Linked DNA regions of Sus scrofa. The protein of the gene in region 1 purifies or fractionates together with the protein of each later gene. This does not show direct contact. Links are inferred from orthologs where the notes say so. Each region holds a gene or a part of one and is shown in the gene's direction. Other genes may lie near its edges. The genes, in order: RHOC, DAAM1 and RAP1GDS1.

Evidence for each region.
Region 2: the proteins of RHOC (region 1) and DAAM1 purify together in Homo sapiens (affinity purification with mass spectrometry; 3 studies listed by BioGRID and IntAct, counting the BioPlex papers as one, with this or other methods). This does not show direct contact. The link is inferred for Sus scrofa from reciprocal best matches to the Homo sapiens genes RHOC and DAAM1.
Region 3: the proteins of RHOC (region 1) and RAP1GDS1 purify together in Homo sapiens (co-immunoprecipitation; 3 studies listed by BioGRID and IntAct, counting the BioPlex papers as one, with this or other methods). This does not show direct contact. The link is inferred for Sus scrofa from reciprocal best matches to the Homo sapiens genes RHOC and RAP1GDS1.

What each region holds. Positions count from the first base shown.
Region 1 is NC_010446.5:107,731,711-107,735,728, forward strand, and holds the start of RHOC (rho-related GTP-binding protein RhoC), read left to right. Parts: upstream 1-1,191; 5' UTR 1,192-1,420; coding exon 1,421-1,439; intron 1,440-3,319; coding exon 3,320-3,483; intron 3,484-4,018. UniProt on the Homo sapiens protein: Regulates a signal transduction pathway linking plasma membrane receptors to the assembly of focal adhesions and actin stress fibers.
Region 2 is NC_010443.5:188,460,776-188,464,365, forward strand, and holds part of DAAM1 (disheveled-associated activator of morphogenesis 1), read left to right. Parts: intron 1-517; coding exon 518-612; intron 613-3,281; coding exon 3,282-3,590. UniProt on the Homo sapiens protein: Binds to disheveled (Dvl) and Rho, and mediates Wnt-induced Dvl-Rho complex formation. May play a role as a scaffolding protein to recruit Rho-GDP and Rho-GEF, thereby enhancing Rho-GTP formation. Can direct nucleation and elongation of new actin filaments.
Region 3 is NC_010450.4:122,004,598-122,008,967, reverse strand, and holds the start of RAP1GDS1 (rap1 GTPase-GDP dissociation stimulator 1), read left to right. Parts: upstream 1-1,558; 5' UTR 1,559-1,781; coding exon 1,782-1,785; intron 1,786-4,370. UniProt on the Homo sapiens protein: Acts as a GEF (guanine nucleotide exchange factor) for the Rho family of small GTP-binding proteins (G proteins) that stimulates the dissociation of GDP to enable subsequent binding of GTP.

The sequences.
Region 1 (4,018 bases):
CGCCCGGCCCGCCCCTCCCCCTGCGGGCCCGCCCCTCCCGCGAGTCGCCCCTCCCGCCGCGGCGAAGAAGGAGGGCGGGGCGGTGCCCCTCGGGTCAGTCTGCCTCCGGCACCGGCCGCGCAGCTGGGAGCGGTGGAGCGGAAGGTACCTCGGGTTAGGGCTGGGGGCGGCGGGGTTGTCCTGGGAACTCGTCCCCGGCAGAGCACTTTCCCCCTTCTCCGCTTGGCCGGAGCTCGGGGCGCCGGCCGGGGAGGAGGGGCTTTGGCCCGAGTACGGGCCGCCTGCCCTCCCCTTGGACGCGGCGCCTGGGCGGCGCGGGGGTCGGCCGGGCTCGGCCCCTCCCTGCCCTCCTGGGCCGCCGTGAGGCGCCCCGGGAATTGCCCCGCAGGGCCTGTCGTCTCTTGGTGTCCAAGCCGGAGTCCCTTGCCTTCCCCTCCCGACTTCCCGGAACCTGCCCGGCCGGGCGAGGGGAAATGGGGCAACTTGGGTCTCTGCGAGGAAGCCCCAGGCCAGACGCTCTAGTTTCCAGGCCCGGCGGCCCGCTGTGGACCGGGGCTGGGGTGTGGGTCCCGGTCCGAGTCCGGATGGAGGAGGGAATTCCCCTCGCCGGGCTGGTGGAGTGGCGGGAATAGGGGCTGGGTGTGACCGTGGGGGCGGCCACTGTTCCGGGGGTCTGGCCGTCGCCCTAGATGGTTTCTGGAGTCGGCCTGGAGTGGGAGGTAGGGGAGATTGGGAAGGATCCAGCTCGTGCGTGTGTGTGTGAGTTCAAGAATCTCCTCCCTTCCAACCCCCCCACCCGCCTTCACACTTCCCAACCCGGCTAGAGAGTGTCCTGGGGGTTTGGGCTGGAGGCCCCAAGGCTGAGTCCTGCCATCACTTCTAGTTTTCACGTTCAGGAGGACGTATCTGATTTCTTCCCTGGACCTCAGGGGTGGCCAGCAGGGTACTGCAGCCCCTGGTTCATCTGGGAATCTACAGGATGGAGGAGAGGGCAGCTGTTTAGTCCCAAGGAAGGCCCCAGGAGTTCAGGTTCCATTCCAGTCCAGTGTGGGGTTTGGTTGCCTCTCTGAGGGTCAGTGGGGCAGTTCTTCAGGGGCCGCCTCTCACAGGGAGCTGTTGTCCTTGCCATCTTGGCCTTGGGCCTGGTGGCCTGGGCCAACTACTCTACTGAGCTTGAAGGGAAAGTCTTATGATTGAGCTGGGGGCTCCAGGTAATTTAATGCATGCTCTTGCCCCGGAGTTCTGGCCTCTGCCCCCCACCATCTGGTGCCACCTAAACTGTCCTGCTGGGGGTGGGCAGTGGCACATTCATGCCTAAGCAACTGGCAGTCACCCCAGTGGTGAATGCCCTCCAGCCCTCCATCAGCAGGGCCCTGCCCGGGTTGGGGCCACCCCAGCCTGTTTTCCCACCGCTGGACCAATGGAACTTGTGGGAGCAGGTAAGCGAGTTTTGGTCACCTGGGTAGAGTTTCCAGGGACACTCCCCCCTTTTCTGAAGGATGGTTTCCATTTTTGGAAGGGATCTGCTGGCAGGGTGAATGCCTTCTTGTTTGTCTTTTGGGGTGTCAGGGGGAGCCCCTGTTGTGGTGGGGAGAGTGGCTGTGCACTCTCAACTCCTATAAATTCCCTCTGACTCATATCCACTTCCCCTCATCCCAGTTGTGTGTGTGTGTGTGTGTGTGTTTGTGTAGGGGAGGGAGGCCACCCAGGATCCCACTGTGGAAGAAAACTTGTCTTGGGCTGGGATATTCGCCTCTTAAAAGACAGACCAAGGCAGGGGTGTGAAGTGATGCTGGTGTGGGGAGAGTGAAGGAGTTGAGTCTAGAACGACAGGATGTGGGACTGAGAGAAAAAGCCAGGTTTGGGGCAGAGATCGGGTTACCATCTCCTCCTTTCTTAACTGCTCCCTGCCTGGTTGGTGCTGGGACTCATTTGTCTCTTTTTTGGGGCTCCTCCCAGCACTGACTCTAGCCGCCCCCCCCAGCAGCCTCGACTTCATCTCAGCTCCAGAGCCCGCCCTCTCTTCCTCCCAGGCCTCAGCCTGGGAACTCCAGCCGGCTGGAGGTCGGCTCCTCTCCCCAGGGAAGGAGGAAGTGAGGCTCAGCTCAGGGGCAGGGAAGCTAGGAAGGTGTGATGAACTGTGCAGATGCTCTTTGGTGTGTGTCGGGGGCGGGAGACACTGGAAACCCCGGGAAGCTGACTCCTTGCCCTGAGTCACAGGGAGGGGTGGGCAGGGCCTTGGGGTGAGCTGGACAGAGGGGAGGAAGGGGCTGTTCCAGGGAGTGGGTGGAGGTGATTCCCTAGTGGATTATTCTCAGTCCCTCTGCTGTGGTAGATGTGTGGCTCCCTACAGTGTGGTCATTGTCCCCTGCCTGGGGCTGAGTGACCCAGTGTTGCTGCCAGGCCCAGGAGGAAGGGGGGAGGAAGGCAGGCTGCCCGAATGTGGGCTGTGGGCACTGCCCAGACTGAGCCTCCTTTGTGTGCCTTGGGGCTCTGGGGACCAGGATGGGGTGGGCCAGGGACACCGGCTGGCTGCTGCCACTGCCCTCCATCCGTCTGCTCTCCTTCCCACCTCTGGGGTGATATGTAGAGAAGGCAGCAGACTAGTGTCTCCTGCCCTGCTTTGACTGCCATCACTGCCACGGCTCCATACACATTGTCTTAAACCTTCTGAGCCACACTTTCCTAGTTTGTCAAAATGGGAAGCCCACTTTCAACCTTCCAGGCTTCTGGGGGCTGAGGGAGGTGATTTTTGTCAGTGCGCCCCCCCATAGTGCCTGGCACCCAGGGGCGTGGTAAATATTCCTTCCCTACCCACCCATATTGGTGGGGACTCTTGGTTTTTCTCTGGGCACGCATGACTGTGCTGAGTGAGGGACAGTGTGTTCTAGATTGGACATTTGAGATAATTAAATTTGAAAAGTATCAAGATCCTGGTAACAAATAAGTCTGACTTGATACCCTGCTATGTAGAGCAAATAAAAGCTGCTGCTTCAGACACCTGTCTAGGTGTCCAGGGGCCCACACTTGGTGAGTGGATTAGATTAGAACTCATGTTTTCTGGCTCCCAAGTGGGTGGTTCTTCCACCTCCCACTTCTGTGTTCTAACCCATGGGGGCAGGTCTGTCTCTGACCCTGAGATTAAGAATTTCAAGCTCAGTTGCTTCAACAATTGGTTCTTGGCAAGAAGGTGCCTGAGCAAAAAGCCCCTCTCCCTCCCTTCCTTCCGTGGTTTCCAGGGAGGTCTTGGGGGGCCCTAGAGACGTGTTTTTGGACTTCGTGGCTTTCCCCAACATCCCCACTGCCTCTTCTTTGCTAGCCCCAGCCATGGCTGCCATCCGAAAGAAGCTAGTGATTGTGGGGGACGGGGCCTGTGGGAAGACCTGTCTCCTCATCGTCTTCAGCAAGGATCAGTTCCCAGAGGTCTACGTCCCCACCGTCTTTGAGAACTACATCGCAGACATCGAGGTGGACGGCAAGCAGGTAAAGGCCAGGAGCCTCTGCTCATCGCGCCTCGGCACCCCGCCCCCAGCACTTAGGAGCCTGGGATGGCCCTCCTCTCCCCCGACCCACACCCTTGCTCCCCTCTCCCGGCTGAAAGCAGTGAAGTGAGGAAGTGCAACTGCCGTCCCTGGAAATCCAGCCTCCTGGTTCTTTACACATGCGCTCTAACCTGGGCCCAGTCCCTTGGTCTCTGGGCTTGAGCCCTGACCCCACCCCAACTATAAAATGGGAATAACAGTAGGGCCTCTTTCAAAGAGTTTCAGTGAAGATGAAATAAAACAGTGGTGCTCACAATGGCAGTTCACACTGCACAAAGACCAAACACATTGTCTCAGGGTTGAACTCACCTTATGTTGTGTGGCTGGGATGAGGACTATCCCTTGCATGTAGTAGGTGCTCAGTAGGTGCCCAGTGAACCTAAAGGACCAGGATTTCAGAGAGGACACCTGGGTGGCAGGGCGTGCGGGGGTGTGCCTGGGGCGTGCCTGGGGCCCTCAGGCTAGCGAAGCACTGG
Region 2 (3,590 bases), on another chromosome or scaffold:
TCCAGTTTAATTATTCTTCTTAAAAAATAATTTGATGTAAGAAAAAGTATAAAAGATTCCTTTTTTTTTTTTTTTTTTTGCTGAGGGATGGGAGCAATAGCATGGGAAAATTGCTGCTTGACTGTATTTGATCATGTGATAATGTTATTAGCTTCAGTTGCCAGAATGTTACATTTAACTGCAGGTCTGATCTTCTATCAAATGGAAATAGTAATATCTTCATCAGAATGTAGTTATGGAATGGTTATATAAGTGTTTGGATAACTTAATCTCTTCTAAGATTTCTCAACATTTCCTTAAAGCATTACCTAAATTCTAAAGGACTAATCTGCAATAGAATGAATTTGTGGAATTCTTGAAGCTTTTGCTCTACCTTTTGGCTTATAGTAAATCTTAGTTGTAGTCTTATTGATTATATGTATTAAAAGTGATAGTAGCCTGTAATCTGTGGGCTTGTCTTATTTGTACCATAATTAAAACAGAGAAATTCAAAAGTAACTTTGTTTTCTCTGCATAGAGAAAATCTCTGCTGGCTTTAGAGAAGGAAGAGGAAGAAGAGAGAAGTAAAACTATTGAGAGTTTGAAGACAGCATTAAGGACGAAACCAATGAGGTGATTTTTTATTGGGTTGCAAGTACTACTTGTCTCTTCTCTTTTTCTTTTCTTTTTTTTTTTGTGGTCTTCCTCCCTTCTTTTTTTCTTCCTTCTCTTGTCTTTTTTTTTTTTTAACACTAGCCAAACTTTTGAGGAAGTTTTAAAAACATGTAATTGAACCATGGATGAAATACTTTAATTATTGAACATTCAATAAATTGTTTATCTTTGGTAAAAGGTATGCAGACTTAAGCCATTAAATGGCTAAAATTAAAGAGAGAGAAACTAAGAAGCATTGGTGCAGATGGTATAGGTGTTGGGAATGTAAAATGGTGTGACCACTTTGGAAGATGGTTAGGCAGTTCTCAGTGTTAAACATAGTGCTGTCATGTGACCCAGTAATTCTACTCCTTGATGTATAGCCAAGGGAAGTGAAAATATGTCCCCTAAAACCTTGTATGTGTATGGCACTATTATTTATAGTAGCGAGAATTTGGAAACCCCTAAATTCTATCAATTGATGAATTGATAAGTAAAATGCAATATAGCCACACAATGGAATATTTTTCGGCCATTAAAAGGAATGGAATACTGATATATGCTCCAACACAGATGAGCCTTGAAAGTAATCATGCAAAGTGAAAAAAGCCAGACACGAAGAACCACTTATTATGTGATTTCATTTATATGAAATATCCATAAAAAGCCAATCCATACAGAGAACCAGAGAGAGAGGGAAATGGTCTTTTGGGGGTGATTCGAGTATTCTAAAATCAGATAGTGACAGTGTTGCACAGCTTTCACTTCCCTGTATATCAGGAGTAGAATTGCTGGGTCATGTGGCAACACTATGTTTAACACTGAGGAACTGCCCAGGGGTTTTCCAAAGTGGTTGCACCATTTTACATTCCCTCCATCTATACCATCTCTACCAATGCTTCTTAGTCTCTCTCTCTCTCTTTTTTTTTTTTTTAATTTTAGCCATTTAATGGCTTAAGTCTGCATATCTTTTAATTGAAGACAATTCATTGAATGTTCAATAATTAAAGTATTTCATCCATGGTTCAATTAACTAAAAGCCACCGAATTGTACATTTGAAAGTATGAATTTTATGGCATGTGAATTATATCTGAATAAAACTGTAATAAAAGAAATAGATGGGCAAACTAATGGAGTTCCCATTGTGGCTCAGCAGGTTAAGAACCTGACATAGTATCCATGAGGATGCTTGTTTTATCCCTGGCCTCACTCAGTGGGTTAAGGATCCAAGTGGAATAGGTTGTGGCTCTGATCTGGCATGGCTGTGGCTGGCAGCTGCAGCTCTGATTCTACCCTTAGCCTGGGAACTTCCATATATTGCAGGTGCGGCCCTAAAAAGAAAAAGAAAAAAGAAAGAGAGGGATGGGCAATCAGCTTCTACTTTTACCTCTCACACCTTCATTTTCCACTAATGCCTCTAAGTTTTGGTGGGAGATGGGGGTGCTTGAAGGTACATTTTATTAGCACAAGTGCTATGAATGAAGCTTGGCTGTATCTAGATCATGTGGTCGATGTGATGGCTGGAAAATAAAGATTCACTATGTTTGTAAAATGCTAAGAAAAATCCACTGATTCCTCAAAAATTATATACAGTTGTATAACATAAGTTTTCTAGCCTGTCTTAACAGTGTTTCCTTCTGTATGTGTGTTCTGAATTCTCAGATGTTAATGAGCATCCAAGGCTAAATAAGTTTGGAAATTCTGGAGTGGTTTCATCAGTAGGTTATGTTACTTCTGAACTTTTCAGAGGCTTAACCTGCAGATGTGCAATATGAATTATTCTTATTGATTGACTTTACAATAAGTAAGTAATGTAAATATTAATAAGATTAGGGCACAGTAATAAAGTATTGCTTTATATATTGGGATGCCATGTATCAGGTCATACAAAAGAATGTTTTTGCTGTAAACCTTAAGGAAATATAATTTGGCAAGTTATTATCGTAGAGTTTAAGGATGCCCTCTGACTTTCATGGATATGGGGCAGCCTTTGGTCAGTGGCCAACACATAAAAGTACGTGGGGACTGGATGCTATAATAACACAAGATCAGCAGATGACTTTAACCTCAGGTGGATATTCTCAATGTCTTCTCGTTCCTGATGTTCTGTGGTTATAAGATATGTTAATTGATTATATCAGTTAAGATTTTATTAATTCAAATGGAAATTTTTTTCACACTTCTGGTTAGACTGACCATTAGGTCTGTGCCAAGGAAGAGCCCAATTAAGAAAACTTCATCAGCGAAATTCCTGTTGTGGTGAAACGGGATGGGTGGCATCTCTGAAACACCAGGACGCTGGTTCAATCCCCTGCCCGGCACAGTGGGTTAAAGGATCTGGTGTTTCTTTTGGTACTTTCAGAGCTACATCTTCTTACTTTCTCCTGCCTACTCCTGCCCTGAAACTTTTCCATTAAGAGCTATTAAAAGATTCCAAAGAGAAGTGTATCCAGTCACTCGCGATAGAACATAATAGAAGATAATGAGAAAAACAATGTGTTTGTGTATATACATATGTATATATATGACTGGGTCACCATGCTGTACAGCAGAAATTGACACAACATTGTAATTCAACTATAAAAAAATTTTTTTTAATTCCAAAGAGACTTAAGTCTGGTACATTTCATCCTTCTTTTTATGACAGGTTTGTAACCAGATTCATCGACTTGGATGGCCTGTCATGTATTCTCAACTTTTTAAAGACCATGGACTACGAGACCTCGGAGTCTCGAATACATACCTCTCTCATTGGATGTATAAAGGCACTCATGAACAACTCTCAAGGTCGGGCTCACGTCCTGGCTCATTCTGAGAGTATTAATGTAATTGCTCAGAGTCTGAGTACAGAGAACATTAAAACGAAGGTAGCCGTGCTGGAAATCTTGGGCGCTGTGTGCCTGGTTCCCGGGGGCCACAAGAAGGTTCTGCAGGCCATGCTGCACTACCAGAAGTA
Region 3 (4,370 bases), on another chromosome or scaffold:
GTAGTGTAGTAGAAGAGTCAAGAGTCTGATTTGATTGTCTTGGGCATCAGAACAGTCTAATAACTTTGACATCTATAGTTACATTGTATTTTCTTGTTTTTCCAAACCTCTCCTCCTTTTTGTTTCATTTTTGTTTTAGAAAATCTGCCCTGCTCAACAAATTACAAGGCCTATTTTGACTTGTGTGCTTTGTAGTATCAGTCATATAAATGGAAACGGATCTGACTGTAAGAGGGCCGCTGATGAAGGGCAGGGAGCACCTTTTCTCAACATTGGGCTGAAAGAGTAAAAGTTGAAAAAGAGAAATTTCCATTTAGCTATTCAGCATCTCCCTCCTACAGGCTGTGCTACTGCCTGCGCCCTTTCCCCGCCTAGACCGTAGTTGCTGCCGCCTGGGGAGACCGACCTGACTCCTCACCCCAACCACCGAGAGTCGGGGCGCGACCAGAGTGCAGGGAACGGGAAGGTTTCCCCCAGCCTCCTCCCGCAGGGCGGAGGACGCAAGACCAGCCTCTGTCTCGCGCGCATGCCCAGTTGGGAGGGTGCCCTCAAAAGGGAGCGCCCAGCTCAGGTTGTCCCCGCCGCTGGGGAGGTGCGGGGAGCAGGCGCTGGCCCCGTGGTCCAAGGAAACTCCGGCGTTCGACCCGATGGGGCCGCAGCCAACTGGGCGGACTTTTGGTTTCCTGCCTTGGCAACCTGTTCCCGCCGCGTTTAAAGGGAGCGGGGCAAAGATGGGCACATCCGAGGAGGGTGGCGCCCGACGGCCAGGGCACCCTTGTGACATGGCTTTTCGGGTGTCCTCCGGGGAAAGGAAGGCCGCGCTCCCCTAGGAAGGAGAACGATACGCTCCGAAGAAATCCCGGGGCGGTCACTCCTCTCGCTGCCGGGAACCTCTTTTAAACTGGCCGCAGCCAGGACAGACTTAACTGTCCCACTGATGTGCCCGCTAATGTTAAGCGCCCTTCCCGCGGCCACCTCCCTTCTCTGTGCCCAGCGGGCCCACACGGCTGCTCTGAAAACAAGCGTCCTCAGATATCTGTCTCCAGAGGCGCTGGCCTCATCGCCAGCATGTCCATGCCGGCCCCGTTTCAGGACGACTGCCTTGCTTCCCGACCACCCTCCCGGGTCTGAGGCGGCCCAGGGTCTCCTCCTTCGGGAAATTCCCGCCTGTGCACCCGGCCTGTCGGGTAATGAAGACTGGCCCGTTTTCCGGGTGTGGGTTGGCCAGGTCGGGGTAGCGACCTGGAAGGTAATAGTTCGGGCACAGCGTCCCGGTACCCAGCCTGCCCAGGGCCTACCCTCCGCCCCTCCGGCGGCAGCCATCAAGCTCCTCCGCGGCGGCTGCAGCCGGCCCGCAAACACACGCCCACCCGCACGCTCAGATTGACTTGCCCCGGGGGGAAAAAAAAGGGAGGCACTGAGCATGCTCGGCGGGGAGGGCGGGGCGCTCCCGGAGTGCGCGTCGGGGCGGGCGCTCCTCCGGCCGGCTCGGCGCCTCCGCCGCCTGCCCGCTCCGAGCTGCGCCCGCCGCAGGCTGCGCCCGCCCCGCCCTACCCCGCCCCGCCCCCCGCCGCTCGTCCCCGCCGCGGCCGCGCTGCCTGCAGCAGCAGCAGCAGCGGCAGCAGCAGCGGCAGCACCAGCTGCTCCTCCCCGGCGGCCGCCCCCCGCGGGTCCCTCCCTGGTTGCGGGAGAGACAGAGGTAGAGGGAGGACACAGCGCCGCGCCGCCCGCACCGGAGACCTTCGCCTCGACCTGCCGGCTCCTCACCCTCTGGGAGGAACATGGGTAAGTCATCCTTCCTCCCCCGTCATCGCCTGACATATTTCTCTTTCTCGGCGTGGTGCAGGGTGGGAAGCATTTCTCGCGCAAAGTTGCCGGATTTCTCCAGTCCACCGGGGTGAGGCAGTGGCTGTTTCTCCGGGGAGAGTCGGCGCACGCGGAACGCACGCCGGGTCCCAGGGCTGGGAGGGTCCAGAGTGCGGGGTGGGGTCGGGCCGCGGGGCCGGACCGCCGCCCGGCTCTCGGGCACCTCGCTGCCTCGCCTCCCCTCCTCCATTCTTCCTGCCCGAGCCGGTGCCCGGGCACCACGGAGCCTGCCCCGCGGGCTCGCATCCGCTGCCCCATCCCGGTTTCTTCAGAGGCCGCCGGCTTCCTTCCCCTCGCGGCTGCTGGGCTGGAGACTCGGGTCCGACCGCTAGAAAGACCACTTCACGTAACTTCCCTGTCTGGGCGACCTTTCCCCATCTTGGGGACTGCTCATCCCGAGGCGGGGAAGTGGGAGCAAGTAGTTTGTGGGGGTGATTTTACAACCTGCACGGAAATTATTTTCGGTGGGGGAGAGCGGACAGTCTCATAGGTTGAAAGGATGACTTGTCAGAGGCCACGAGGAACGTGAGGCAGGATGGATAGAGCCGCTAGCTGTTGAATTCGTGTTGGGTGACTACAGTGTGCACTATTCCGGTGTTCAACGCATTTTCTTGGCTCCTTCGCCTGTCTCCTGTAGCACGAAACTGCACCCTGCCTGTCTGTAACATGGTACCGAACTTACATACTAGTAATGCTTTCCCAGCTTCCCTTGTCGGAATCTATATAATGCGATTTTAGTTCCTTCGTGTTTGTGATTAATCTTAAGAGTTTGGGATGAGATATTTAAGAGTTGGGATGAGATGTTTTACAAAGCTACATATAATTAATCCTACTTTTTCATAATATGTTGCTTCATTGTTAAGTTCAGTAATTGCAAAAACGTCTGGTGGCTACGGTAATGTGATTAAAAGACGAAACATTTTTAAAAATTGTAGCGGTTTGGAATGCCATGCTTCTGCCTGTTCCCCAGTTTGCTTCCATTCCTGTCATAGTTTCTTTCTTCTTTTTAAAATTTGCTCCTTTGGCACCTGTCAACTCAGACTTTCCCCACCCCTTCCTTGCAAGTTATTTTAAGCTTGAGATGAGTGTGGACCTTTTATCTGTCAGTCTGGTGCCCAACACGTCCAGAGTTAGGTCATGGCAACTCAAAATCTTCAAGGAAATATCTAAATCTAGAAATGGTGTCTATGGAGCTCACTCGAAGAGCAAATGCTCCAAGCTCTGATTCAGACCTTTGGCGGAAGAGGTCATTTTTGCAAGAGGAGGTATAAATCTAGGACACTGAATTTTGTTTTCTGTTGTTCAGTTTTTTCCTTTTTAATGTGCTGTAGGTATGCTGAACATATTTCTGTAAAAGTTTGGTGGCCCATTTATTATTTATATAAATTTCTCTGGGAGTAGAATTTTAAATAAATATCAGTTCAGATTATTGGATACCTTGTGTCTTTCCTTTGAACATTGCAAAGGTTTTCTACTTAATTACAGGCCACAAGTAAAATAATTAACCCGAAAATCTTTGCTTGATTTCAAAGAGAGTCCAAATAGAAATCCATCTCTCATTTGAAGCTTCTCAGATACTCGGATTAAATCACCCTCTCTCCTCATACCATTCTGTTTGTACCTTGTTGGAAGCTTTTTAGACCTTACATAATCTGCTTTATAACAGAGTTGTTTATGTGTTTGTATTGTGCATTTAATCATGCATTCTAGAAGGTGAAAATTACGTCGTTTTAATTTCAGGGTCCTCCACAGTGCTTTCTACATAGTAGGTATTCAGTAAATCTTTGGTAAATTAATTATTGAACTGGAAACCTATCTATTATTTTCAACTGGGGAACCTGAAAGTCTGGGCCCTGAACAGACATTTGGGTTGATAGATTTTGTGCAGGTGGTGGAGGTGTGGAGGAACTGGGTACAGAGAAGTATAATTATACTGTGACTGCTCTTCTCTTTCTCTCAAAAAAAAAAAAAAAAAGTTGTGTCGTCTCAGATGTGTGGGTTTTGGAACAGCCACTAGGCAAGCTATTTCTTCCTACACTGCTCTTTTCAATGGTAAGGTGGTTTTGTTTACCATCAGTAGACATATACAATAATGTAAAATTGAAACATTGAAAGACAATATTATATTCTAAGCCAAGGAAGTTATTATAGCAATTCCTATATACATAAGGGTATACTGATAAGCGATAGGGGTCAAAAAAATCGCTAATGTCATTTTCATAAGTAAATATGGTGATTTTTAAAGAAGATATTGTTATGGCAGTGATTTTTCTCCAGAAGAAAGTGAAGGAAACTTCCAATGTAACCTTATGGACCATGTCTATTATTTTTATGTATACATTTATATATATATATACTTAAAATTCAGTGTGTACTTAATATTTCTTGTATACCTACCGTGGGAGGAGAAAGATCAAGAAGACATTCGTTTTTCAGGTTGCTTACAATCTTAACAGGAATGATACATACACAGATAACATTAATAGAAATAAAGTATGAGTGGC